Schizosaccharomyces pombe: one gene and its partners. The gene in region 4 interacts genetically with the main gene of each other region. Each region holds a gene or a part of one and is shown on either strand. Other genes may lie near its edges.

What was found.
Region 1: mutations in urk1 (region 4) and pfd3 together harm fitness less than expected from each alone (positive genetic interaction), as found in Schizosaccharomyces pombe (2 studies listed by BioGRID).
Region 2: mutations in urk1 (region 4) and pfd4 together harm fitness less than expected from each alone (positive genetic interaction), as found in Schizosaccharomyces pombe (2 studies listed by BioGRID).
Region 3: mutations in urk1 (region 4) and elp6 together harm fitness less than expected from each alone (positive genetic interaction), as found in Schizosaccharomyces pombe (2 studies listed by BioGRID).

Annotation. Positions count from the first base shown.
Region 1 is NC_003424.3:599,447-605,361, forward strand, and holds pfd3 (prefoldin subunit Pfd3), read right to left. Parts: upstream 2,073-5,915; 5' UTR 2,040-2,072; coding exon 2,029-2,039; exon of another isoform or gene 1,980-2,028; coding exon 1,881-1,979; intron 1,837-1,880; coding exon 1,437-1,836; 3' UTR 1,380-1,436; downstream 1-1,379. Other genes in the region: inositol phosphorylceramide synthase Aur1, read left to right, coding at 1-738; SPOM_SPAC3H8.08C (transcription factor), read right to left, coding at 2,614-4,305; poly(A)-binding protein Nab3, read right to left, coding at 5,050-5,513, 5,569-5,909.
Region 2 is NC_003424.3:503,054-508,722, reverse strand, and holds pfd4 (prefoldin subunit 4), read right to left. Parts: upstream 2,815-5,669; 5' UTR 2,740-2,814; coding exon 2,368-2,739; downstream 1-2,367. Other genes in the region: serine/threonine protein phosphatase PP2A regulatory subunit B-55 Pab1, read left to right, coding at 1-520, 564-587; yip5 (Rab GTPase-binding protein), read right to left, coding at 1,431-2,180; atg10 (autophagy C terminal domain family protein), read right to left, coding at 3,131-3,670; yea6 (NAD+ transporter), read left to right, coding at 4,630-5,669.
Region 3 is NC_003423.3:1,863,186-1,869,314, reverse strand, and holds elp6 (elongator complex subunit Elp6), read left to right. Parts: upstream 1-3,631; 5' UTR 3,632-3,706; coding exon 3,707-3,901; intron 3,902-3,983; coding exon 3,984-4,538; downstream 4,539-6,129. Other genes in the region: SPOM_SPBC3H7.08C (uncharacterized protein), read right to left, coding at 1-63; palmitoyltransferase Erf2, read left to right, coding at 1,866-2,918; protein tam8, read right to left, coding at 4,562-4,795; trm141 (actin binding methyltransferase), read left to right, coding at 5,129-5,416, 5,489-5,947. UniProt on the Schizosaccharomyces pombe protein: Component of the elongator complex which is required for multiple tRNA modifications, including mcm5U (5-methoxycarbonylmethyl uridine), mcm5s2U (5-methoxycarbonylmethyl-2-thiouridine), and ncm5U (5-carbamoylmethyl uridine).
Region 4 is NC_003421.2:1,554,215-1,561,135, forward strand, and holds urk1 (uridine kinase/uracil phosphoribosyltransferase), read left to right. Parts: upstream 1-1,784; 5' UTR 1,785-1,892; intron 1,893-1,953; 5' UTR 1,954-2,230; coding exon 2,231-3,595; 3' UTR 3,596-3,699; downstream 3,700-6,921. Other genes in the region: serine/threonine protein kinase Ppk33, read right to left, coding at 4,010-5,026.

The DNA of each region.
Region 1 (5,915 bases), on a different chromosome or scaffold from region 4:
CCAGTTTGGGCTCGAACTTTTGGTTATATGAATTTATTTGGTGTTCTTATCCAAATGGCTTTCCCCTGTTCTCCTCCTTGGTATGAAAATATGTATGGTTTAGAACCTGCCACGTATGCAGTACGTGGCTCTCCTGGTGGATTGGCCCGTATTGATGCTCTCTTCGGCACTAGCATTTACACTGATGGTTTTTCTAACTCTCCGGTTGTTTTTGGTGCCTTTCCATCTCTTCACGCTGGATGGGCCATGCTGGAAGCACTTTTCCTTTCGCATGTGTTTCCTCGATACCGCTTCTGCTTTTATGGATATGTTCTATGGCTTTGCTGGTGTACTATGTACCTTACCCACCACTACTTTGTAGATTTGGTCGGCGGTATGTGTTTAGCTATTATATGCTTCGTTTTTGCTCAAAAGCTACGCCTCCCACAGTTGCAAACTGGTAAAATCCTTCGTTGGGAATACGAGTTTGTTATCCACGGTCATGGTCTTTCCGAAAAAACCAGCAACTCCTTGGCTCGTACCGGCAGCCCATACTTACTTGGAAGGGATTCTTTTACTCAAAACCCTAATGCAGTAGCCTTCATGAGTGGTCTTAACAATATGGAACTTGCTAACACCGATCATGAATGGTCCGTGGGTTCATCATCACCTGAGCCGTTACCTAGTCCTGCTGCTGATTTGATTGATCGTCCTGCCAGTACCACTTCCTCCATCTTTGATGCAAGTCATCTTCCTTAAATCAACGTGCTTTAAGAATATATTTCCAAAAGCTACATGATACATTGACTAGAATCGGTTTGATTCATAGTGGTATTGGAATGATGTTGTTCATTGTGTTTTTTAACTGTTAATCTGACATCCATTGAGTCATTCTTTACAATTTGTAAAATTAATTTGTATCACTAATTTTGAAGGAAGCTATTTTGGTATTAATACCGCTTTTGGTCTCCACTTCCTTTTCGAAACTCTTAACAGCGATTAGGCCGGGTATCTTCCAGTGTGATGTATAGGTATTTGTCGTTTTTTTATCATTTCCGTTAATAAAGAACTCTTTTATCCAGCTTCTTACACTGTCAACTGTTGTGAAAGGAACACATTTAGAATTTCATTTTCCTTATTTGTTGTGATTTAAATCGTTTGACATAATTTTAAATTTGGTTTGAAATGTGTGTGAGAAGGCTTGTTTTATTCATTTAGTTTATTGCTTGTTTGCACGAAAATCCAGAACGGAGCATTAATGTAATCCTTTTTTATTCTGTAAAGCGTTTTTATACAAATGTTGGTTATACGTTTCTAAAATAAGAATATTGTTATAATAATATAGTTTTTTCTATCATTTGTTACACACACTAAAGAGACATTAAGGATAAGCAAATGTGTTAAAATGATAATATATTTTGGAAACATTTATAAAGAAATTAAGCAGCTTTGACTAACTACATTTTTGTTTTTTTCCTAAGCAAAACTGTATAGTTATACACGCGAGCTGTATTCACTTCCATTGTAGTGACTTGAGCTCTCAAAAATTCCAAATCTTCTTTACATGCTTTCAATGTTTCTTCCGCTGAGTTCAGCTTCTGCGTTAACAATGCTTCTGCCTCTTCAACCGTATACTCAAGCATAACATTTGCACCTAACCAAAGGTAGACATTGTCTTTAGCTTCTACTTCTGCTTTTGCATTTAATGTGTCATTTAGTTCATATGTAACAGTAAAAGAGTCACCTTGTCGCTCTTTCAAGAACTGAACACTCTGTAACGTTTTTCGAATGTCAGGAATTTTGTCATCCAAACTAGCAACTCTCCTGACCACACTAGTCTCCATGAATTTGTACTTTCTAAATTACATTATATTAATATGAAATAACATATATATCCTTACGCAATTGCTTCTTGGAACTTTTCGAGATGACCTTGAGCTTCCTCCATAGATAACTCTTTGAACTCAAAAAATTGAGCGGGTGGAATTCCCCGTGGATTTCTATTCATATTAGTTATTTTTTTAAAAAGTATTATACTTCAGTACATACGAAGAACTCATTCTCTATGCAACAGAAAAAGGGGCGGTTGTTTTGAACAGGTAACTGAGTGTCAAAGGTAATAGGTATAGTAATGTTACAAATTTGGAAATGCGTATTATTCCCTAATTACCAAATCTAACCAAGTCTGAACTACACAGTCTAAATAGGCAGAATATTTTGGTTATACACATGTAATTGATAATTGTTGCAAAATCTATTCATCCAATTTACCAACCATAACCTGTATAGAACCATTGCGCAGCGTAATGCATTTTCATTTGAAAGTACTAGCGAGAGTTTTATATCACTAAACTTTTTAAACGTTTTTTAATTACTTGAAATCACATATTTTAGTTAAACATATTCTGTTTGGAAAAGGCAGTTTTGTTGAAAAAATTGTATTTGAAAGACAACTTTATAGAAGGATAGTAAGAAAGTTAATTCCTAAATGGTCTATATTGAACCAAAAATAGTTACATTAAAAAACGAGAGTCATTAAAAGAGCAGATAAATTTGACATTAGAACCACTTTGGAACATTAATCGAAATTTAATCAATCATACAAACAAAAAAATTACAAAGTGCTCGTTTAGGTCACTGATCAAGAAGGGCGGACGGTATAAAGTAATTTGAAGTAAAATCAAAAATGTCAGCGAATAATTTAGAGGGATCCTCCGTGGTTTCAGGTTCTGCATCTTGCATAGGCGGTTCATTTGGGTGTAACATACTGTTGATGAATCTTAAAACATATCCAAATCGGACAGCCATGCCATCATCAAATGTTACGATATCAACCATTCTTTCTTGTACATATAATGTTATGTCACCTAAGTCAGAAGGCACCTCAAAGCCTTTATCACGGCAAAACGCAGCCAACATGAGGGCGTGGATAATCTCCAACAACGCTACCAAAAGCCAGCCTCGTTTTTCTAATATAGTGATTTGAGATATGAGTAGCCTCACGCACTGAATACAACTTTCACCCAAATTACCAATAATAGTTTCTTCATCTTCTAAAATCCCTGAATCCAGGGTAATAAAACATTGATACAAATTCACACGTGCAGTCCAGAACACCATTTTCAAAAATATGTATCGAAATTGAATATCTTCATTAGAAGGGTCATAAAACTTTGCTTCTATATCTACCAAAATAAGCGAAAGCTGTGATTCATAACTCTCCAGTTTATCAATGAATTTACTAACGGTGAGTGAATGAACAGATTTATAGATTGAAACACCACAATCAAGTAACCTTCCAAGAAGTAGATGAAAATTGTAGCTAATATCGTCATTAAAAAAACAACGAAGCGGCTTGAGACGACCATAAGTGTCGTGTTGAATGAATGGCGGACGGTACTTTAATACACATTCCAAACCATCAATTTCACAGAGAGCAAACCACAAATCTGACGTATTTTTTCCTATTTTTTCCGTAACTTGGAAGAGGGGAGTTACTAAGGTTGATACGTGAATGCTTCTACATAAGTCAGTATTCACTCCTCTTATTCTTGTGCGAAATTTTGTTGCATACGCTCGCAAAAGCAGCATCTGAATTATTTCTTTATCAGGCAAGCATAAATGTTTATATTCCTGCTCGGATATCTCGTTAAGTTTTAAATTTATAAGACGGCTGGATTCCAATGGAGTAATCCCCGCCGAATTATAAAAATTGAGAATAACATCAGGCAAATCGCTCAGCTGGATAGTTGCAGCAATAATTGGTAATAAAGTGAAGGCATCTTCGTACGAAAAAGATTCTGGTGATTCAATGTTGTTTAAGCTTTTTTCTACTGTCTCTTGATCATAAATAGGACAGACAACATTTAGTGTTTTAAAAAATAAATTAACAATTTTCTGTGATATGCAAAATGGCGGTAAAAGGTTCGCCAAACTCTCAACAACCACATTATCTTTATAGCTACTGTAAGCCTGAATTGAAAACGAAGGTCGAGATGAGCACATGTCGCTATCCTTTCTATATTTAATCAACTCAAAGAGTGATCTCCATCCATAAAAATCAAATTTCTCATTTTTTTTCGGATTAATATCGGGAGAAACTTCCAGTGTGGTTTCAGAATCAGAAGCATTTTCGCTATGACTAGGATGTGGTCCGACGTTCATTTTATCAATGGTATCATCTGCGTAAGTGCAAACCTCGTTCCTTTCTTTACATCGAGAGCAAGGCTGCTGACGGTCGCATTTGACCTTGCGGCGCCTACAAATTAAACATGATTTTGGGCTGCGTTTTCGAAATTTCTTTAAAGCTGGAGGAGAGGAAGACATTATTAGAAGTATTGATAACTTGATAATTTCCTTTCAAGCAATTGTAGTTGCCTCCGTATTTGAAGTGGAGGCACAAAATAAAACGAGGATCCTTCAAAACTTCCTATTTTAGAGAATCCTTTAAAAGCACCTTGATATTCAGACCGACCAGCGGTTGTTATTTCTAATTAAAAAAATTAACCTGATAATATACTTTAAATAAAGTTCCTTAATTGCAACTTCAGATTGGGAGGCACTTGTATTACTAGTAATGAAAAGATTATAATATAAAAGTTACTACTTACTTACTTACTAAGCTTACAACGTACTAGTCGGCGTTGCGTAGCAGTGCATCGCTGTTATCAGATCAATTAAACTGCACGTTTACCTAAGTAGTAAAATATTAAAAGGACATTTGACATTCATGATCATCAAATTAATAATAAAAATATGTCGTTGTTATTAATTTTTACTCGCTAAATCTCTTAATCAGTAAAAATCAAGTATCGAAACTTTCTTCCTAACGATTTATTACCATTTTTTGTATGCATCGAAAAAAATACAAATGAACAGTTGATAGTCCGTGCAGCAAGAAAAATTACTTGTCTGTTGGTTTTTACATATAAATGCTTCAAGAATAACTGAGAAAAAAGTGAAATAAATATTGAAGACAAGGACATATATATCGCAAAACCATATTAACAAAGTGCTACCTAAAACACTTGTTAACAAATAATATATATAAACCTTTTCTAAGGTCAGATATCAAAAATCAGGTTGCTTGAGCTCTGCGAGCTGCTCTAATATCTTTTGAAGTTGCTTGTTTCCAGCAACTGAAGACCTTTGGCGGCTTTCTTGAGAATGCAATGCTTCGTAATTATCACGAGCATAATTTTTAGGCATCTCATTCACAACAAATTGGGACTGAGATGTAATTGTTCCAAATGATCCTCCGGTATCATTAGGATTAAAACTAACTCTAGTTGGAATGTATGAAGTAGTGCTATAGGTATTTTGAATGAATCCTAATAAATGGTGAAGATTAACAGAATCTAAAGAACCTACTAAAGCTGGTAGATTAGGATTCGTTGATATACAGGGAGATGGCACGTCAGGCACAATACGCTCACCATTATACGATGGCGTACTAGAAGCAGCTGAGTGCATGAGAGAAGTCTTTGCGTGGTGAACAATACTTGCAGCAACCATCACGTCCACAGCAGCATATTCTATAAAGACAAAGTTAGAGTTCTGTCAAAACACATATATCTTTATTCAACGTACCATCACAACGGACTTCTGAATCGCTAGATCCGTCTTTAAACACTTGAACCGACACCTTCCCTAGGTGAGCCAAACCGGCGTTTATCAAGATAATGGATTTAACGCTGTTAATAATACAGCTTTTAATAATGACTTGTAAGTTTGAGTCACGGTACAAACAAGTGGTATGTATATTCAATCGACGCTCCTGAAAGACTTTTTCCACTCCCCATACAAATTCCTTTGGACAGTCTTCCGTGACTAGTATTTCACAATCAGGGCTGAAGTTTTTAGACATGGATATAGATCCCTTTCTATCGTAGGATTTACCCTTCGACATTAAAGGAGATCGCGTGCGTTTTCTGTAT
Region 2 (5,669 bases), on a different chromosome or scaffold from region 4:
CATCTCTAGCATTTCAGACGTTAAGTTCTCACAAAATGGCCGCTATATTCTTTCAAGAGATTATTTAACTCTTAAGATATGGGATGTCAACATGGAAAAAGCTCCCGTTAAAACTATTCCATTGCATGATGTTTTGCGATCAAAGTTATGCGATCTCTATGAAAATGACTGTATTTTTGATAAATTCGAGTGTACCTTTTCTGGTGACGACAAACACGTTTTATCAGGAAGTTATAGCAACAACTTTGGGATTTACCCCACAGATAGTTCTTTGCCTGGCGATAGAGGACAGATAGTTTTGCAAGCCGACAAGGCTGCATTTAGAGCCAGAAAATCTGCTGCAAATAACGTTCCAAAGTTGAATGCTGTGAAAAATAATGATTGGCGGTCACAACCTCAAGCTGCGATGGGATCTGCTTCTGTTGGCCTTGATCCTGATAACCTGGATTACAATAAGAAGATATTACATGCCAGTTGGCATCCCTTTGAAGACTCAGTTGCCATCGCCGCTACTAATAATGTACGTTTGCTTATCAACTTTTTGTTTACTAATGTTTCAATAGCTTTTTGTTTTCTCTAAGCTCTAATGTCCTTATGTGGAGTTTGGTTTGTTTTTATGATCTACGGATAGACTGAACATAGTTCCTTTTTTATTGAACTTCCGGGAATAAGAGTTTTCTTACCTTCTTCTTTCAGATTGTATTCTTATATACACACACCATTTTAACCATTAATGACAGAAATAAAGTTTTTAGGACTAATGATAAAAGGGTGCTTTGTTTATCTCCCTTCATGTATGCCGTGAATCGATACATATGTACTTTGCTATCCACAGTATTTTTCTTTTTCTCTTTTTACGTGTTCCTTTTTAATCTTGAAATTGTGGTGATGCATCGTAAATTTCAACGTTTTTTCAATATCTCACAAAGTTTTTTTCTCTTGTTGAAAAAAATCTGAATTTGAAATCGTAAAAGTACTTTTCAGGTTAAGCTTCACCATTAATTTACCTTCAGCTCTTTTTTGTTGAACAACGAGTAATAATGTGTTAAGTTTTCTATATAAATGACGGGAGATCGATTGCAAAAATATGACTAAATGTCATAAAGTCTTTGGTTCACTAAAAAGGCTACAATTATTTTTACTAAGGCATGATTCATCAATGCATAAGAAATGATTATTTATACGTATTTTGCACCTGAAAAAAAAACCTAGTAAATTGAGGGAACATTAGTAGCTATAGTAAAAAGAGTAGAAAATCAAATGTAAAGCGAATATATGTATAAACTGAATCATATAGAGTATACCAACACTTAGACTCAATAGGATCTTAAATGCTGAATGACTTTTCTAAAGAATGAAAGAAGGGGAATAGTATAATTTTCGAATGAAGCAATGCGACTGATAAAAGAAACTCCTCACAAATTAGGATATTAACTGAAGAATATGAGTTGAAGAGACAAAGCGAGCAAACAGTGAAAGACGATAATTCCGAACAATAAAAGTTTGCACAAATTTGATCCGGCTTGCTGACAGATAGGATATAAATTTCTAGTTAAAAACACAATGGAAATTAACAAACCAATCCCTGTAAGTACATATTTGACAATATGGGAGGCCAAAGTAGATAGCAATCCAAACGGAGGAGTTGCTAAAGAAACGGGAAGCCAAACAATGTTAGCATATCCATATAAACACAGACAGTCGAGTAACTTAGGGTTGCATTTGTTCCACACTAGGATACCCCATAACAAAACGGCGATAATGGTAGTGTAACCATAAATAATTGATGCTGCAGAGATCAACTTTTTTATAGAATAGCCACTTGTACCATGCCCTGTGGCATAACGAGCGTATTCGGTAATTGAGTTGGAAAAGAATAGAGCCTGTATAACCGTAGTGGTTATCCAAAAAGGACCGTATAAATCGGGACGATCATCTACAACATCAAAGAAATTTACAGTGGGAATAAGAGTATGTATACATCGTTGAACCACATCTTTAGTTTCCACGTTAAATGAATCTTTGATGGTCCATGGCGTCTCTTGCATGGATGCGCGACGAGATTGTAATCTAGGGGCCGGAGGCTTTGTAATGGGAGTTCTCTGCTTATAAAGGTCTTCAGCCTCAAATGTTGTACGACCTAGGTCAGCTTCCGAGTCAATTTCAATCTCATGTGCCATAGTGGTGGTTGGATACTTGTAATGGCTTAGGGTGAACAAAGAAGTTTACTTATTGGAGGCGCTAATTGCATACAGATTTGGTATTGTGAATAAATTTAAATGCATGAAATGTTATTTAATTAAAGAAACTAATTCAGAAAAATAAGATGAAGCTTCTAATTTTGAGATTTGCTGCTTTTTCCAAATCTTAGTCTAGGTTAATTTGATCGTGAAATTTAGAGTACAGCATTGATTTCAACTCTTGAATGCGGGTTTCGTCTTTTTCCATGGAAGATCTTAATACGTCGACTTGCTTTTCCAAACTTTCTTCTGACTGCTCAAGCTGGTCAAGGAGTACAGGAAGGGAAACTTGGAAAAAGGCATCGCCAACCTTTAAAGCTGGAATATCGTCTCCATCATCCTCGTCTAGTAATTCACATTCATTTTTAGCGTCAACAATATCCTCTATTTGCGTTTTTAAATTCTTAATATCAAGTTCTTGAATGGCCTTTCGAGAATGCAACACTGAAAATTCATTTAAATTCCTTTGATCTTCTGCTAGAACAGGAACTTGTTCCATATTTGTTGCTAAGGTGTGTTAGGAGGAATAGTATATAACCCGGTTTCGTTTGTCTTAACAAACAATTGTTGGTGTAGAGATCAATGCGGTCAAGTAGAGGTTTAAGTGGAACAGTTGAATGATATGTCAAAACAGAAGGATTATTAATTAGTATAGTATTTTATCTACAAATTTAAAGAACAAAAGCTATTTTCTACAATTGAGGTCTTCAGATCCGTAATGTTTTTGCTGTCAAATAACAGGTCAAAATTTTACTATAGATTCACAGGGTATTATAAACTAAAACCAGAGAATACGGATTAAATTGACTTTTAATTTAGTTTTAATCATGGGGAATAATATTTAATAAGACAAAGTCTTAGCAAGCATACCCGTTTATAACAGGTTATCTTTAGGATTTTTCGGCATCGTCAACTGCTTTTATTATAGGCTGAGTTAGCGGAGAAAGGACTTGATGAATATATAGCAACCAAAGAGAGAGATACTTGGGATCCTCTTTGTCTATCTGAAGCATTTCGAAATAATCACGCGTACGACATGGATGGATATACCATGCTATGCCTACTGTACCTGGACAGTCCCCAATAGCAAGAGCGTCATATGCTAAATTTTGACTGGATCCTTCTAATAACTCAAAAATCTGTTCCATCTTGGTAAGAGGATCTGATCCGTTTGCATAAGGTTGAAAGAAGAACTGCGGGACTTCGAAGGATGGAGAATCCCTAATCCAGGCGTGCATAGTGATCATTGGATTCATAAGGCTTAAAATATCATCTTCTTCCTGCTCGTATAATAAGGAATCATTTTTATCAAGTAGCTCAGTATGCCATTCTAACTTCAAAATACACTCATCAAACTCAATCAACTCACAAGAAATACCACCTTTCGACAGCTTCTGAGCAAGGATAAGTAATTGAGACTTAAAGCTCATTATTGTCACGGTTAGCCAATTTAATCACTTTATCTTTGCTAAAGCAATAAGTAATTGAAGAAGGAATTATTGTCCCATAAGCCTGGCTACAGTCTGATTGTTCAACGCACTATTCCAATGAGGGCAATAGAGGCAATCACCTGTCAATATATTTGAAGTTAAGTCTCGACAAAAATGGTGTTTCAGTTATTTACAAGTATATTAATTCTACATCTTGCTTCTAAAGTTGACAATAAGAGTATGACAAAACAGTACGTTGGAGTTTACAAAGTTATCCAACAATATAGTGGTACACTGTGTAGTTACTACGTTTTCAACATTTCTTCTCAGCAAATGTAGGATTTCTTAAAAAAATAATTTTTTCGACTAGAAATTGGCGGTAATCAAGAGAAGCTAATGTATAAAAACAATATGTTTGGACTTGGAAAAAAATGAAAAACTAAGGTTTTATATTAGTAATTTCCTCTTAATACTTATACGAGCAAAAGCAAAAGCAAAAGCACTGTTCCAATGGTGCTTATAAAGCCAACTGATCTGTGAAGTAAAATTGAGATATGTGTGTAAAGCTGTTAGCAACATCAATGTCACCATTATATATTGTTAATGGGCATTACGACTTTAATCATATCTGATATGCACATATAAAAGAAATTCTCTTTTAAGGGCATGGAACGTCCTCTCAATTAGTAATTCGGAGACATTCATGTCGTTAATGTGGTTTACCGCACAGTGATTCGACTTTCTTATTGACGGCTGCCAAACACTTTACTTACATATATGTTGTTGTACAGCTTCTTACATCAACGCTAAAATATATATACATTTCCAATTTGAAACATCGTAAGGCGTTGGATCGTTCTTATCAGCGTCTAAAAAAGTAAAGAATTTGTCAAGGTCTATTATTTAATTGCTGTTTTCTTTAGATGCATGCATTATCATCAGGAAATTGATCCGTCTTTATGGTTGATGATTCTCTAAAGGATGCTATAGCAGGAGGAGCTGCTGGATTGGCCTCTTCTCTTGTAGTGGCACCTTTAGATGTAGTAAAAACAAGAAAGCAGGCACAAAAGGCTTTTTATTCAACTGGTGGTGGAAAAAATACAATGGTTTTGGGTGGGACCCTCAGTTCGATGCGAACAATTTTTCACAATGAAGGCATCGCCGGTCTTTATAGAGGTGTTGGACCCATGATGTTAGGTTATCTTCCTAGTTGGTCCATTTATTTTGTAGTCTATGAAAAATGCAAAGTGCTATTTGGGGTAAATAAAAAATACACTTCTCTCCACGAAATTGATTCGTCCAAGGTTGGCATCAAGGCTTCCTTAGATAGTTCTGACAAACAATTTTATCGTTACTGGGGTGGTCAAATCTTTTCTGCGGTTATCGCCGGTGCTGCAAGTGTCACTCTTACTAACCCCATTTGGGTTGTAAAAACAAGGTTAGTCACTCAATCACATCCTAGGGCTTCTTCTTTTGTAGATAAAATTGCTGCGGCTACAACCGTCCAGTTTCGTAATCTTCAAACGGACGCACCATCCGTCAAATGGAGAATGCCTCGCTTTTGGCTCAAGCGTAGGACGAATGTCAAATCTTCTCCATCACAGCATCCAGTGAATCCTCCCACAGGCCCTGCATGTTCACCTGCATACAACAACACATTTGACGCATTTCGAAAAATTTATAAATACGAAGGCCTTGCAGCATTTTACCGAGGTCTTTTCCCCTCTTTATTTGGTACATTGCATGTTGGCATCCAATTTCCACTGTACGAATATTTTAAATCATTTTTGGATGATTTTTTTGGTAAAAAAAGCAACTTTCATATAGTGTTAGCAGCTACTTTGTCTAAAATCGCAGCTTCTACCGTCACTTATCCTCATGAAGTTTTGAGAACTCGGTTGCAGAGTTTGGATGCACCTACACACAACTCGGCTACCTTACTTATTCGAGACATATGGCGTTCAGAGGGTTGGAGAAAATATTACTCTGGCATGGCAAC
Region 3 (6,129 bases), on a different chromosome or scaffold from region 4:
TTCTGGATATTCTCTTGACCAGCGAACCAGGCGGTTCGACATAATTGAGCGCATAATTGACATGATGGTTCCAAAAATAAAAAGTTCTTGTTCGCTTGAATAGTTTGATTAATTGTTTCGAGATGGAAAGGATCTAAAATCCTTTTATGATTGTAAATGTCAAAATGAAATACGTAGGCGAACATTCGCAACATTTATGACAAGCATCAATATTTATGGGGATCGCCACCTGACGCAGACAAGACGTAGCAACGGTGCGCATTAAGAGATTCAAATTTGAATGGATAATAATATCATAATAATCACCAACTCCTTCTACTAAAGTGGTGAAAGAAGCAACTTTCCAATATTTCTAGATTTTCCAGCGTTTGCAATCGGGATCGAACCGCCCTTGTATTTATATTGCTTTATACAGTTTTATAATACTTTTCAGATACTACCTCTACCCTTGTATTATACTATAGAATTTGTTAGGACACTTATTTACTAAACTTTTCCTAAGATTATATTTGTAAATAATAAGAAGAGAACACTAAAAAACTTCGCAAACAAATAAAAATGGTTCGTACCATTATAAATAAATATAGTCATTTTTCAAAATTTAGCTGCCATGAGGTTAGTAACTTAATAGTAGTTGCTGACCGCAAATGTTTCTCCAGTAAAGTAGGTCCAATGTACAAGTACGTTTAAAAGCGTCATTGAGATTTTCTAAGGAATAAGAATTTAATTCATTTCCCTTTAAAACAGGAAATAAAACCAAAGGACCGCTTGGAGTCATGCATATTGAGGAATAACAATCTAATTCGATAATCTTGTGAACTACATTTCCACTAAATACAGTGAATGAAGCCAGGATGGTTTTTCTTAGATGTAGATTAGTAATAATTTTTCTTCAAAATTTCATCCATAACTGACCATATACCGTGTTTCTTGAGTTATTTGTTTACAAGCCATAGAGGTTATTGGGTTATTTCGGGGCTAGTGAAAGTATAGAGATGATCCTTTAAATTAGCCCTTTCATTAATAGCTTCGCGATAATCATAATTTCAATAGTTGCAACACTCTAATAAACTTTTAAGATCTTTTTTCGTTGCTTCCGTACCTTCATTTCTAATATTTTCTCAATTACACCCTCCCATTATTTTCCTGCTAGTTATTTAGCCATTTTAAAAAAAAAAAAAAAAAAAAAAAACATAATACACAAGATGAAAATGGTTTACTAGCTAGTCTACTTCCCATGATATTGGTCTTTTATCTTAGTCTTTGGAGTCTTTATCGAGTCATATATTACTAATTTTTCCATATATTATCCACTTTCTTTACAAACCCGAAATTGCACGGATAGTATAATTTATTAAACTTGATTTTTCTAACTTTGAGCCCTGAATTGTTGTACTGACAGGATGTTCCAATTACAGTATCGATGAAATATATTTAAATAAAAAGTTTGAAAAATATAAATACTAATATATTGGCACTCTTAAATAATTTTTTTTACATTTTATTCGTAAAAAAAAAATAAGTACTTTATTTATTATTATTAATTTTATTTCTTCGGTTAGTATTTTTTTTTTTAGCATTTCATTTCATATTCTGTTTTTATTTCCCTTCTCTTTTTAATACACTCTCATCGATTAAATAGGCGCCATTCCAAATATTAGTTATTAGAGTCACATTCTCTAATTGTTTATTTATTTTGATTTCTTTATTTGCTTAGTAAACAAACTTTGGCGGATGCTAATATTTACTTCACCCTCCATCGCAAAAGGGGTTCATATCCTTACCGACAACAAAACTACAAGATATAATACCAGGTGTAAAAATAGCTGTTTCTTTGCCATGTTTGTTGTTTAGAGAATATAATCATGAGCTATGAGAAACACAGTGATGCTAAGGCATCCCGCTACGCGTGGAATCAGCCATGGAATCCATTTGAGGTGACTTTGTCTGATCCAACGTATCCCATGAATTTGGAAGAAAAGAACCAAATTCCTTATAGATTTCAATCCGTTCCTGATGATGTTCCGGAAGTACCGCATATTGAAAGCCGATATAAGAATTTACCAGGAAACAATATCTATTTATGTTGTGGTCGATTGCAAATGTCATCTCAGTACAAAGCTTTCCTCATTAGCTTGTTTGCCTTGATTCTTCCAGGAGTCCTTTTCTTCATCTTTTCTGCTTTTTGGCTCTGGCATCATGTCTCTCCCGCTGTCCCTATTACCTTTGCTTACCTGTATGCCTTAGCCGTTGTTTCCATGTTCAAGTGCTCGACTGCTGATCCAGGAATTCTTCCTAGAAATGCATATTCTTTAACTTATAACCCTGCCCATCCCTGGTCTGTAATTCCTGAAGACCGTAAAGTCCTTGTTGGATCCACTCGGTCTGACTCTGTCTTTGTTAATACAGTTTATTGCCATACGTGCCACTTATATCGTCCTCCACGTGCAAGCCATTGTCATTTATGTGATAATTGTGTTGAATACCTTGATCATCACTGCATTTGGTTAAACACTTGCATTGGTCGTCGAAACTACAGATATTATTTTATTTTTTTGTTATCTGTCGTTCTTTCAGCTTTGTATCTAACTGGATTGGGGTTCTATACTTCTATAGGAAGTTTTCATGAATCCACAGATACAAATTTTGCGGCGCATCTTCGTCGTCCATGGGCTGGCGTATCTTTCTTCCTTGGCATTTATGGGGCACTTGGAGCAATACTTCCTGGCATCCTTTTCTGTTACCAGTGCTATTTAATATCTGTTGGTCAGAATGTTCATGAATACTTACGAGCAAAGAGTACAGAAACTGAAGATGTACATCCTTTTCATGACAGCATATGGCTCAATTTTCTGGTTGTCCTTTGTCGTCCTAAAAATGTGAGTTACGTTCGTCCCACTAGGAAGTCTTACGTGTAATATGCCTTGGCTTCACAAAGAAAATAAGAAATAAAAATTTTTTATTTGCTAGACAATAATGCTCAAATCGCTCACGCATATATGCTACACTCTTTCATCTTCCCCTTACCAATTTACTTTTCAGTACCGAAATTAATTTGGTTTTAATAACCGGAATAAAAAAGATTACTCCCCTCTTCAAAATTTTTACCTGGATAATGTTTTGTTCTTTTTTTTCATCCTTGTCGTCGACCCCTTCAGCTCGCCCTTTGTACTTTACAGAGAACAATGTACAGAAACAAATGTTTATAAAACTATTCCTTGTTCTCACCAATCTCTGGAATTATTAATATTTAATTTGGCTGCTCTCTTTTATTTTTAAAGTAATGCTGCTTGTTTTTATGACTTATATGATAGATAGATGGTTTTACCTCCTTTAGCTAAACCCCTTTCCAGTCTAATTTATTGGGATTTGCTCTTTATTGTTCTTTTTTATTATTATGATTGCCTTTTAGGCAAATCAATGTTCCATAGGTAGATAGTTTTTCTTTTTTTAATGAAATAGCTTATCCACATTTAGAGGATAGTTTTCTGGAAAATAATTTGGTATTAGACTTCTTTAATTTGATACTTGAAACTTCTATAATATTAGAACTAGCTTTGCATTACTGACCGGCTTGTTCATTCTTACTCTGGTTCATGTTGCTCCGTTCCCAGGCTTGTGTTTTCCATTCACCCTCTACAACCATTCGGAAAGCTGGTTACTGTAGTTAGGCTATAAAACTAATGACAAACGGCTCTTAAACCTAATGTCTTCTTTACACGAGCATTTACGCCCCATTCCTGAGCCTTTTTCTTTAACTTTGCTACTGGGAACAAGAGAAACACCTGTCACATTTCTGTTCCATTATTATTTATACCATGCGTTGAAAGCAAAGGAAAGTACTTGTTTTTTAACATTCAGTAAAACCTTAGATGAGCATGCAATTAGTATGCGTAAATGGGTATGTAAAAAGAGGGATTACGATTGCATAAGTGGTTGAATGATAAACTATTCGTATGACTAACCTACTGAACCAATATTAGGGAATGGATATTAAAACGAAAAAAAATTTCTTCTTTATCGATGGCTTCAGCATGCTATTTGCTCCTATTTCCAAGCCTTCGAAGGTACAAGCACCAGAAACCAAAAATCACATCAAATCTGTTTTCGCGCCTGTGATCCAATGTGTGGAGGAAAACGATTTTGAATTTGAAAACTCCACGATCATCATAGAAGATATTGATATTTTACAAAGTACTCATGCTCTCGATTCCACAAAGATTCAGCAGGCAATTTTGGAATTACGAAAATGTTTCAGTAGAGTCATTGTAAACGTGACTTTGGGAGCTCCGTTACCACAACAAAAGTCTTTAGGCTCTTCAATCGGACACATGGCAACTAGATGTATTTCCTGTCGGCCTTTGACTAGCGGTAGCGCTCGACGAATCACCGGATTCCTGCGTCTTTCTCGAATGCCAAATCACTTTCGTAGTGGAATATGCGAGACCCCGGAGGATGATGACAAGGAGCTTTTATACGAGGTAACGGAAGCAGGTGCTAAGGTATATTCCAAAGGGCAGGTGACGCTGCAACTCTAAATTCCTACTTCATCTACTTTTTCTCAATTATCTGCTGCTGCAGTCTCTTCGTCTCCCTTCTTTTCCACTTGTACATTATCTTGCACCCACCGTTTTACTAAAAATGTTCGTTGAGGCCTGGATTCATCTCCTTCTTCATTATCCTCATCATCTTCATTAGAATATGTATCTACAACAACAGGAACCCATTCTCTGCTCCAATGCACTGCTGTTTTTTCATTTTGTTGAGGTTCCACACTTTCTGAAGTCCTATTCATTGTATATTTGTAGAGTTGCGAGTATCACAAGGTGCGCGCGAATTGGTATAGGTGTAGGTTTACAAGGAAGAACAAGACGCTCTCTGCACAGTGTGCATTGATTTGTGAATTTGGAATTAACGAACTAGGTTTGGTTATTTTTTTATTTAAAATAGTGCTTTTTTAATTTAAAAAAAATTGATCGAGCCAGTTTGGTATTCATTGAAGGTTGTAGGGTAAATCGTTGTCATACAAATTTTTTATCGCATTTTTTGGAATAACTACTGGGTTGGGTAATATTTTGAAACATCTTTCATACATATAGAAGACCGTGCTACGAAATTGTTAGGAGATATGAGTGGTATATCAAAATTAAGTGATTTTTGGGTTGAAAAATATAAAAAGGAGTCGAAAAAGTCTTGGGATAAGTTTTACAAGCGAAATGAAACAAGGTTTTTCAAAGATAGACACTGGCTTGATCGTGAATTCGATTGTTATTTTGGATTGCCCGATAAGTTGCCATTGACTATCCTTGAAGTCGGATGCGGTGTTGGAAACCTCGTCTATCCTCTGCTAGAAGTGCAACCAAATTTGAAGATATACTGCTGTGATTTTAGTCCTCGTGCTATAGATTTTGTGAAGGTAAGGAGAGCTACTAAATTTATGCCAATTTGCTCTGAAATATTTAATTTACTAACCTTTGTCTTAATTTAGAAGCATTCCTGTTATAACGAAAATAGAGTTTTTCCTTTTGTTAATGATATAACCGAAGATTCTTTGCTTGAAGTTTTGGGTTCTGCTTGCATTGATACATTAACTGCCATCTTTGTATTATCTGCCATTCCACGCGAGAAGCAGCTTCGTTCTATTAAGAACTTGGCTTCAGTCATAAAGCCAGGAGGGCATTTGGTGTTTCGTGATTACTGTGATGGCGATTTTGCTCAAGAGAAATTCATGACAAGCGGTGACCCATCTATGATTGATGAACAGACGTTCGTTAGACAGGATGGAACTTTATCACTTTTTTTTCGAGAAGAAGATATTGCTGAATGGATGAAAAGCGCCGGGTTTGGCTTAGTAACATTAGATCGAGTTAATCGCACCGTTGACAACCGAAAGCGTAACTTAAATATGAAGCGTACGTTTTTACAAGGAGTTTGGAAAAAGCTGTGAATACTTTGGTAGAAAAAGTTTCTTTGTTTGCGTATTTTTTATTCTTTTATATAGGGCTTTTAATGTAATCCGTTTTAGACATGAGTCCTGAGTTTTATTGTAAGGTTTATGACAGTAACTTTAGTTTTTTGATAATTTAATTAATAAAAATAGAAAATCTTTGTTTTCTTAAACTACACTCG
Region 4 (6,921 bases):
GTTCTTTGGGGAACTGTTTAGAAAGAAAATGAAGAAGAAACGAATACAAGCAAAACGCTTGTAAATTAACCTTTGAAATGATTAATTGAGTAAAATATGAACATGAAGAGGAATCCAATAAAAAGCTAGTCAATTCCCAATTATGACTAACAAAAACAATGGATCAATAATGTAAAAGAACGATATTAAAAAAAATATTTAATTATTAATTTTTCTCACTTGTCAATTCCTACTCCTGAAGTGAATAAATTAGCAGGTTAAGAATTCGTTCGCCAAGATAGGTGAAAGGAAAGAGAGGATGGAGGTGTGTCAATGTGAAACGAACAAAAGATGGCAAATATTATAAAACGGCTATAGCGTGATATCGTTTGTTAAAATATTAGATTTATTTCAATTCACTATTTTCTAGCTCAATAAGTGCAATTTATCATTACTAAAGGCATGGGTAATATATTACAACAAACGTTGGTAAAAGGAAGATGAGGAATTTAGTCATGTGGTACTCTTTTGTTTATTTTAAAAAGCGTTTTATTTGGTTTAAATTGCAGTTACAGTTTCAATTCTACAGCAAGTTTATGATAAAACTTTTCGAGTAAATGTGATGTGAAATTCAAGGATTTTTTTCTAATCAAATGAGGAGGGGAAGATATCTACTTTAATTTAATAAATCAATTGATTCCATTGCTATCGATACATGGATAATTAATTTGTGGGATTGAGAAGAAATTATGCGAACAAATTATCTAGGCTTAATATTCATGAGTTTCGAGTTTTAAATATGAAGTCAAAATTTGCGCAATTCGAGGTCATCAATGTCATTTTTTTGTGACGATTAGCCGTCAAATATGTTTAACATTGCACCGGCTTCAAATCTTTGCGTTTGATGCATTCACTATTCTATATTTTCACTTCTCTCGATATAGGGAAGAGAAATTTAAGGATTTTGCGTGTGCTAAGTAAGCATGTAAATGGGTTTCTATTCGAAAATGTACGCTTTTTTCAAATTTTTCTACTTTTTCACACCATTAATAGCGGATTACTCTACTTGATGGGTCAAACTGAATATCCTTTATACTATTTTCTAATTTGAAATTAATTGCCTATTACGAACAAAAGCGACGAGTTCTCAATATCATAAAACCTGCCATAAACTTATGTCCATTTACTTGGTTCTTCTGCACAAAAGAAACTTTCATATTCCTTTTTGTCAGTTCTCTTAGGTTTAAAAAAAATGGCAAAGCTACAATCTAAATCTTCGAGCGGCAAAATCATTTATTGAACTTTGAGACGATCTCAACCTAGCTGTTCTTTTTATTTCATCATTTTTGGAAGGTAAAAAATAATTTGAATCTGTTTTTCTAAGAAATGCGTATTAAGTATTAGTCGTGTTGATTTAGTTATTTATATAAACAAAGCAAGATTTCTCTTGCGTTTTTGAATTTGAGCCAATATGTTAAATTTCCTTATTGTCGCCTATTTTTATTAAATACATTTTTAAAGTTAAATTAAATATCAAATTTTGGTACAAGCTTCCAACATGTCACGAATGTTACAATTTTCACATAGTCAAAATTGATTAATTTCGAATATTAATTGCCGGATTTCTTTTAAATCTACATATAATTCATTAATTTAGTAATAGGTATTGCAAAAAAACTTCTCACTTCCGTTCTACAAACAAACTGCTCTTTCTTTATTCCCGATGATTACCGCGGCTCAGGCGCTGACTGAAAAAGTCACAGTGATAATGTTACCAAAGGATGAAAAAACAATGATATTGGATTTACCCTTCTCCAATTTATTGTTTCAACTAGTTTACTAGTTATTTAAAAAGACATTTCGAAAATCTTTCTATTTATGTTAAAATTTCCTAACATTTTTCCTTCCTTTGGGTTCGTATACATATATATATTTTTCTAATGGTATTGCTAACTCGAGATTTGTGATTTATAGAAAAAACTAAGCAAGTTTGAGAAGAGTAAGATAAGGAAACCATTATCATTCTACTTGAATTAATTCTGTTTGAATAAATATCTTTGGCTCTACAAATTGTGGAATATTTTCGTTTCACGCCAAGACAGAATTTACCTTTTAAAAAACGTTAGGTTCACCAATTAGTCTTTTTTTGCTCTACAGTTTTTTTTTTTTTAAACTTTCTTTAGTAATATTTCCTTGGAGGCTAGCATACCTTTTTTTTGGGCTTCTTATTTATTTTATTTCTTTCGTTATTATGCCTGAAGCTTTTGAGCGTTATTCAAGCAACCCAACTTATGAACCCCCATGGCGTAAAGTGCGATTTATTGGAATTGCAGGACCATCGGGTAGTGGGAAAACCTCGGTGGCCCAATTGATTGTAAAGGCGTTAAATCTTCCACATGTTGTTATTTTATCCCTTGACTCGTTTTACAAATCTTTGAATGCAGAGCAGAAGAAGAGAGCATTTAACAACGACTATGACTTTGATTCCCCCGAAGCCATTGATTGGGACTTGCTCTTCGTAAAACTGCTAGAACTTAAACAAGGCCGTAAAGTTGACATTCCTATATATAGCTTCAATGAGCATAATCGGCTTCCTGAGACCAACACGTTATTCGGAGCAAGTATCATTATTCTCGAAGGGATTTTTGCTTTATACGATGAAAAGATTCGCTCTCTCCTTGACGTCTCGGTCTTTCTAGATACAGATTCGGACGTGTGTCTCTCTCGTCGACTGAATCGCGATATCAACTATCGAGGAAGGGACATAGTTGGCGTTTTGGAACAATATAATAAATTTGTCAAGCCAAGTTATGAGAACTTCGTTAGGCGTCAACTATCTTACACTGATCTTATCGTTCCTCGTGGCCGGGACAATAAATTGGCAATTGATATGGTGATTAATTTTATTCGTAGAACACTTTCTATACAAAGTGAAACTCATGTTAAGAACATTGATAGTTTACAGCAAATTGTACCAACCATTCCCCATTTACCCTTAAATTTAGTTCAGCTTAAAATTACGCCTGAAATATCTGCCATCAGGACTATTCTTATAAACAAAAATACACACCCTGATGATTTACAATTTTTTTTGAGCAGAATTGGCACCATGTTGATGAATTTGGCAGGTGATTCGCTTGCATATGAAAAGAAAACGATTACTTTGCATAACGGAAACCAGTGGGAAGGTCTACAAATGGCAAAAGAGCTTTGTGGTGTTTCAGTTTTGCGATCCGGCGGAACTCTTGAAACAGCTTTATGTCGTCAATTTCCAACAGTGTGTTTGGGTAAGATTTTGGTGCAAATCAATAAAGTTACTCAAGAACCAACTTTACATTACCATAAATTGCCCCGTGGCATTGCTACCATGAATGTTGTTTTGATGGCTTCACATTTAACTACACATGCAGATGTCTTAATGGCCACGCAAATTTTAGTGGATTTCGGGGTCCCAGAGGAAAACATTATAATTGTGGTCTATGTTTGTTACTCTGAAAGTATTAAAGCGCTGGCTTATATTTTCCCAAAGGTTACCATTGTTACAGCATTTCTAGAAAGTGTTGCTGAACCCGTAGTCGGTAGATTGGATATCGAAAAAGTGTATTATGGATGCTGATATAACATTTATATGCGTGGATATAAAAAACAAAAGTTTAATGTCTGTTAGGAGTTTAGTGTACATTTTATTAAAGAATTCCCTTTGTTTGGATTATTACTTGCAGAAAACTACGGATAACAGGTGTTTGGTGATATAAATGTCATATTAATTAATTCGTGTAATTTCGTATCGCTCGATTAGAATAGTTCAGAAATTCAAAGTTATAAATAATGAAGTTTGAAATAGTTTAAGTGGAAACGCAGTCAAAATTTTTCCAGGGAAAATAAGAGACGAGACTATCAGGCAAGCAAAAAAAAATAGTAAAAAAATAGCAATACTATGTAACACATGAACCGAAAGACAAATCGTAGCTGAGAGAATCTTTGAATAATCATATATATTAATTAGTTTTGTAAACATTGAATCATTAGTTTAAAAAGTAGCCTCCAAATCTAAAATTGGGTCAACATATACTTTTCCAGATTTCGGACGGAAAATAGGAGTCAGGTTGCCCTTGGAAACGGTCTCCAAAGAGATAGAGCAAAAAAATGGATGTGTTTGAAGTTTCTTGCTGGAGTGACCCAACCTCTTCTTAATGTCCATTTCTAGAAAAGCCATAACAGCTGAACGAGCATCTTTCGAGATAGTAGTTAGCTTTTTATCCCGAGAAATATGAAGAGCAGAAGATAAACGATCTGCTGATGAAGCCTTTTCTTCCTCTGAAGCTCGAATCCAATTGATCAAAAGATGATTGGGAAAAGGTCGCACTTGAAAAAGGCATTCGTAAAATGTTATACCTAAGGACCACCAGTCTGATTCTTTATAAGAAACAGCGTGAATTAATGTCTCAGGAGCCATATATACAGGGGTCCCAACGCGACCAACAGTCATGTTTGATTTAGAAGGAGAAGATGAGGTATGCACTTTAGCTGCAACATTAAAGTCAGCCAACTTGCAATGTCCCTTCTCATCCAACAAAATATTATCTGGCTTTACATCGCGATGAAGCACCCCCTTTGAATGTATATAAATCAAGGCAGATACTAGTTCTACCATCCAAATACGAATGACCGATTCATTGAATTTTCTTTGGGAAATATGGTATCGGAGATCTCCACCAAGCATTAAATCAGTTACTAAGTAAATTTTCGTTTCATCCTCAAACTCAGAGTAAAACTTGCATAGTAGAGGATGGTTCAATGATTGTAATAATAGAACCTCATTTCTTAGCTTCTTGATCTTATGCTCGTCGTGTTTCTTTTTATTGATGCATTTAAGAGCAAACCTTTGCTTAGTTTGACGATGTTTCACGACGAACACTGTACTCCAGCTTCCTTTCCCAATAACATTTCGAATTTTGAACTGAGAAACACTTTCAAAATTGGTGGCATTTGGATCCTCAAAATTTTCTTTGTCGTTTTTAACACTTTTTGAGTTACTATTTCCCATGTATAAAAAACTGCGGAAAGAAAGCACAAAGGTGCAGCAATGTCTATTTGACTTTGGTGGATAGGGACGCTAGCGAACAATTAATTTACATTTAGCATTTCAAAATGAAAACTCACTTTTGACTCAAGCGCTGCGACGCCTTAATTTGAGTAAACGGTCCTGTAGTTCGATAGCTTGACTAGTGTAAAAAAAAAATAAAGAGAGAGAATTCGGTTTTTTTCTTGAAAACGAGTGTTAAAAAATTATTTATTAAATTTGGTTTTGGATAAATCAGAGAATTATGGAGTCTGTAGATTCACCATACCTGTAGTCAGGAGGTACAGAGAACAAAGAAACTTAGCAATTTATGGGTAAACAAAGAATCAGGGAGATGATGCTTCTTCAATAGAGTCGTTTAAATGCAACTTTAAAACTTATCCTTTTGATTGGATAAAATTAAAATTAGCGAAGCTTATGTTATTTCTCAAAACGACCATTGGTTGTAGATAACTCGTTAATAGTAATCTTAAATTAACCCAAGGAAGATAACCACATTTAGTTGGTGAGAGTGAAAAAGCACATTACACGTTTTCTACACTGAATTTCCTTTAAAAACAGAAATTTTCACAAATTTCCTTGTTGTTTTAACTGTTAGTATAATTTTTCTTCCATTTTGGGACAACCTACGTTAAGAGAAACTTCCTTCCCCACAGTGTACAAGAGGTGGCTGAAAACTGCAATGGAAGTACAATGCAGTACGGAGGTTTCTACATAATAAGTTCCCCTAATAAAACACCTACAAAAGAAGCATAGTGACCCTGCTTCTTTTTTCTCCTTCACCTATAATACTGTTGCTTCGTTGAGATCAGTGCTTCTCTCTACAAAAGAATTTCCAAACTTATCGTAATGCGTTGCCAGAGTTAAGGCCTATGTCCAAAGCTTTATTTTAAAATGCTGGAGAGAACAGAAAGTGGAACTTAATATGCATAGTAAATATAAGAATAACAGAAGCAGGATTTTGTAAGTCTAAAGATATTTTTAGGTTTGGATACACTCATTCCTCATAAAAGAAAAAGGAAGGAAAAGGGCGTTGTTCATTTTTTTAAAAGGAATAAAGAACCGTCAAATGATTTTACCGGTTTGTCGCATTAGCCTAATTTGGATATAATTCGAAATTGTATAAAAGGTATCCAATTTTTTCCTGCGTCTTGTAAGTCAATCTCCGATAAATAAGAGATTAATGTGAAAATAATGCCTTCATGAGAAACAACTTATTTCAACCACATCTCATTCTCAGCAATCACAGAGTTCCATTATAGACGTTGATAAAAAAAATAATATAAAGAATAAGTGCAGCAATTACTTCGTCCGGCTTCAATTTGTCCTTTTTACAAAGTCAAAGTTTTCGAATTGTCTTGAAGCAAACAACCCTACACAGATCTGTCTGTCATAGGTAACGCTTAATATCTCTTAGGAAATGAAGTATAACGACTGTGATTTCCAAGCGCTTCATCTTACCTTTTAACGAGATTGGATCAAGAGCCTTGGAATAATTTCGTTTCTCTTAAGTTTAATTCCCATCGTCCATTCGCTGCTCTTTCTGATATATGATTAACGATTTCTTTAAACATCTCGGTGAATACGAGATTTGAACTCCTTCACTATTTCCTTAGAAGCTTAAATCCTCTTTCTAAGAAGTAATTTTTGGCTGGCAACCAAGCAAGTCATGCTCTAAAGTTTTATGATCGTTCAAAAAAATAATCCAACTAACGTCTTTGGCATTTCGTCTAATCAAACCTTGGAAGTCGCTTTTCATCGACAATTTCTTAGCTTAAACTTGACAAATAGATTACATTTTTTCTACAATATTCAAGCATTTCTTTAACATTTTTTGGAACTAGTACTTTCAAGTAGGG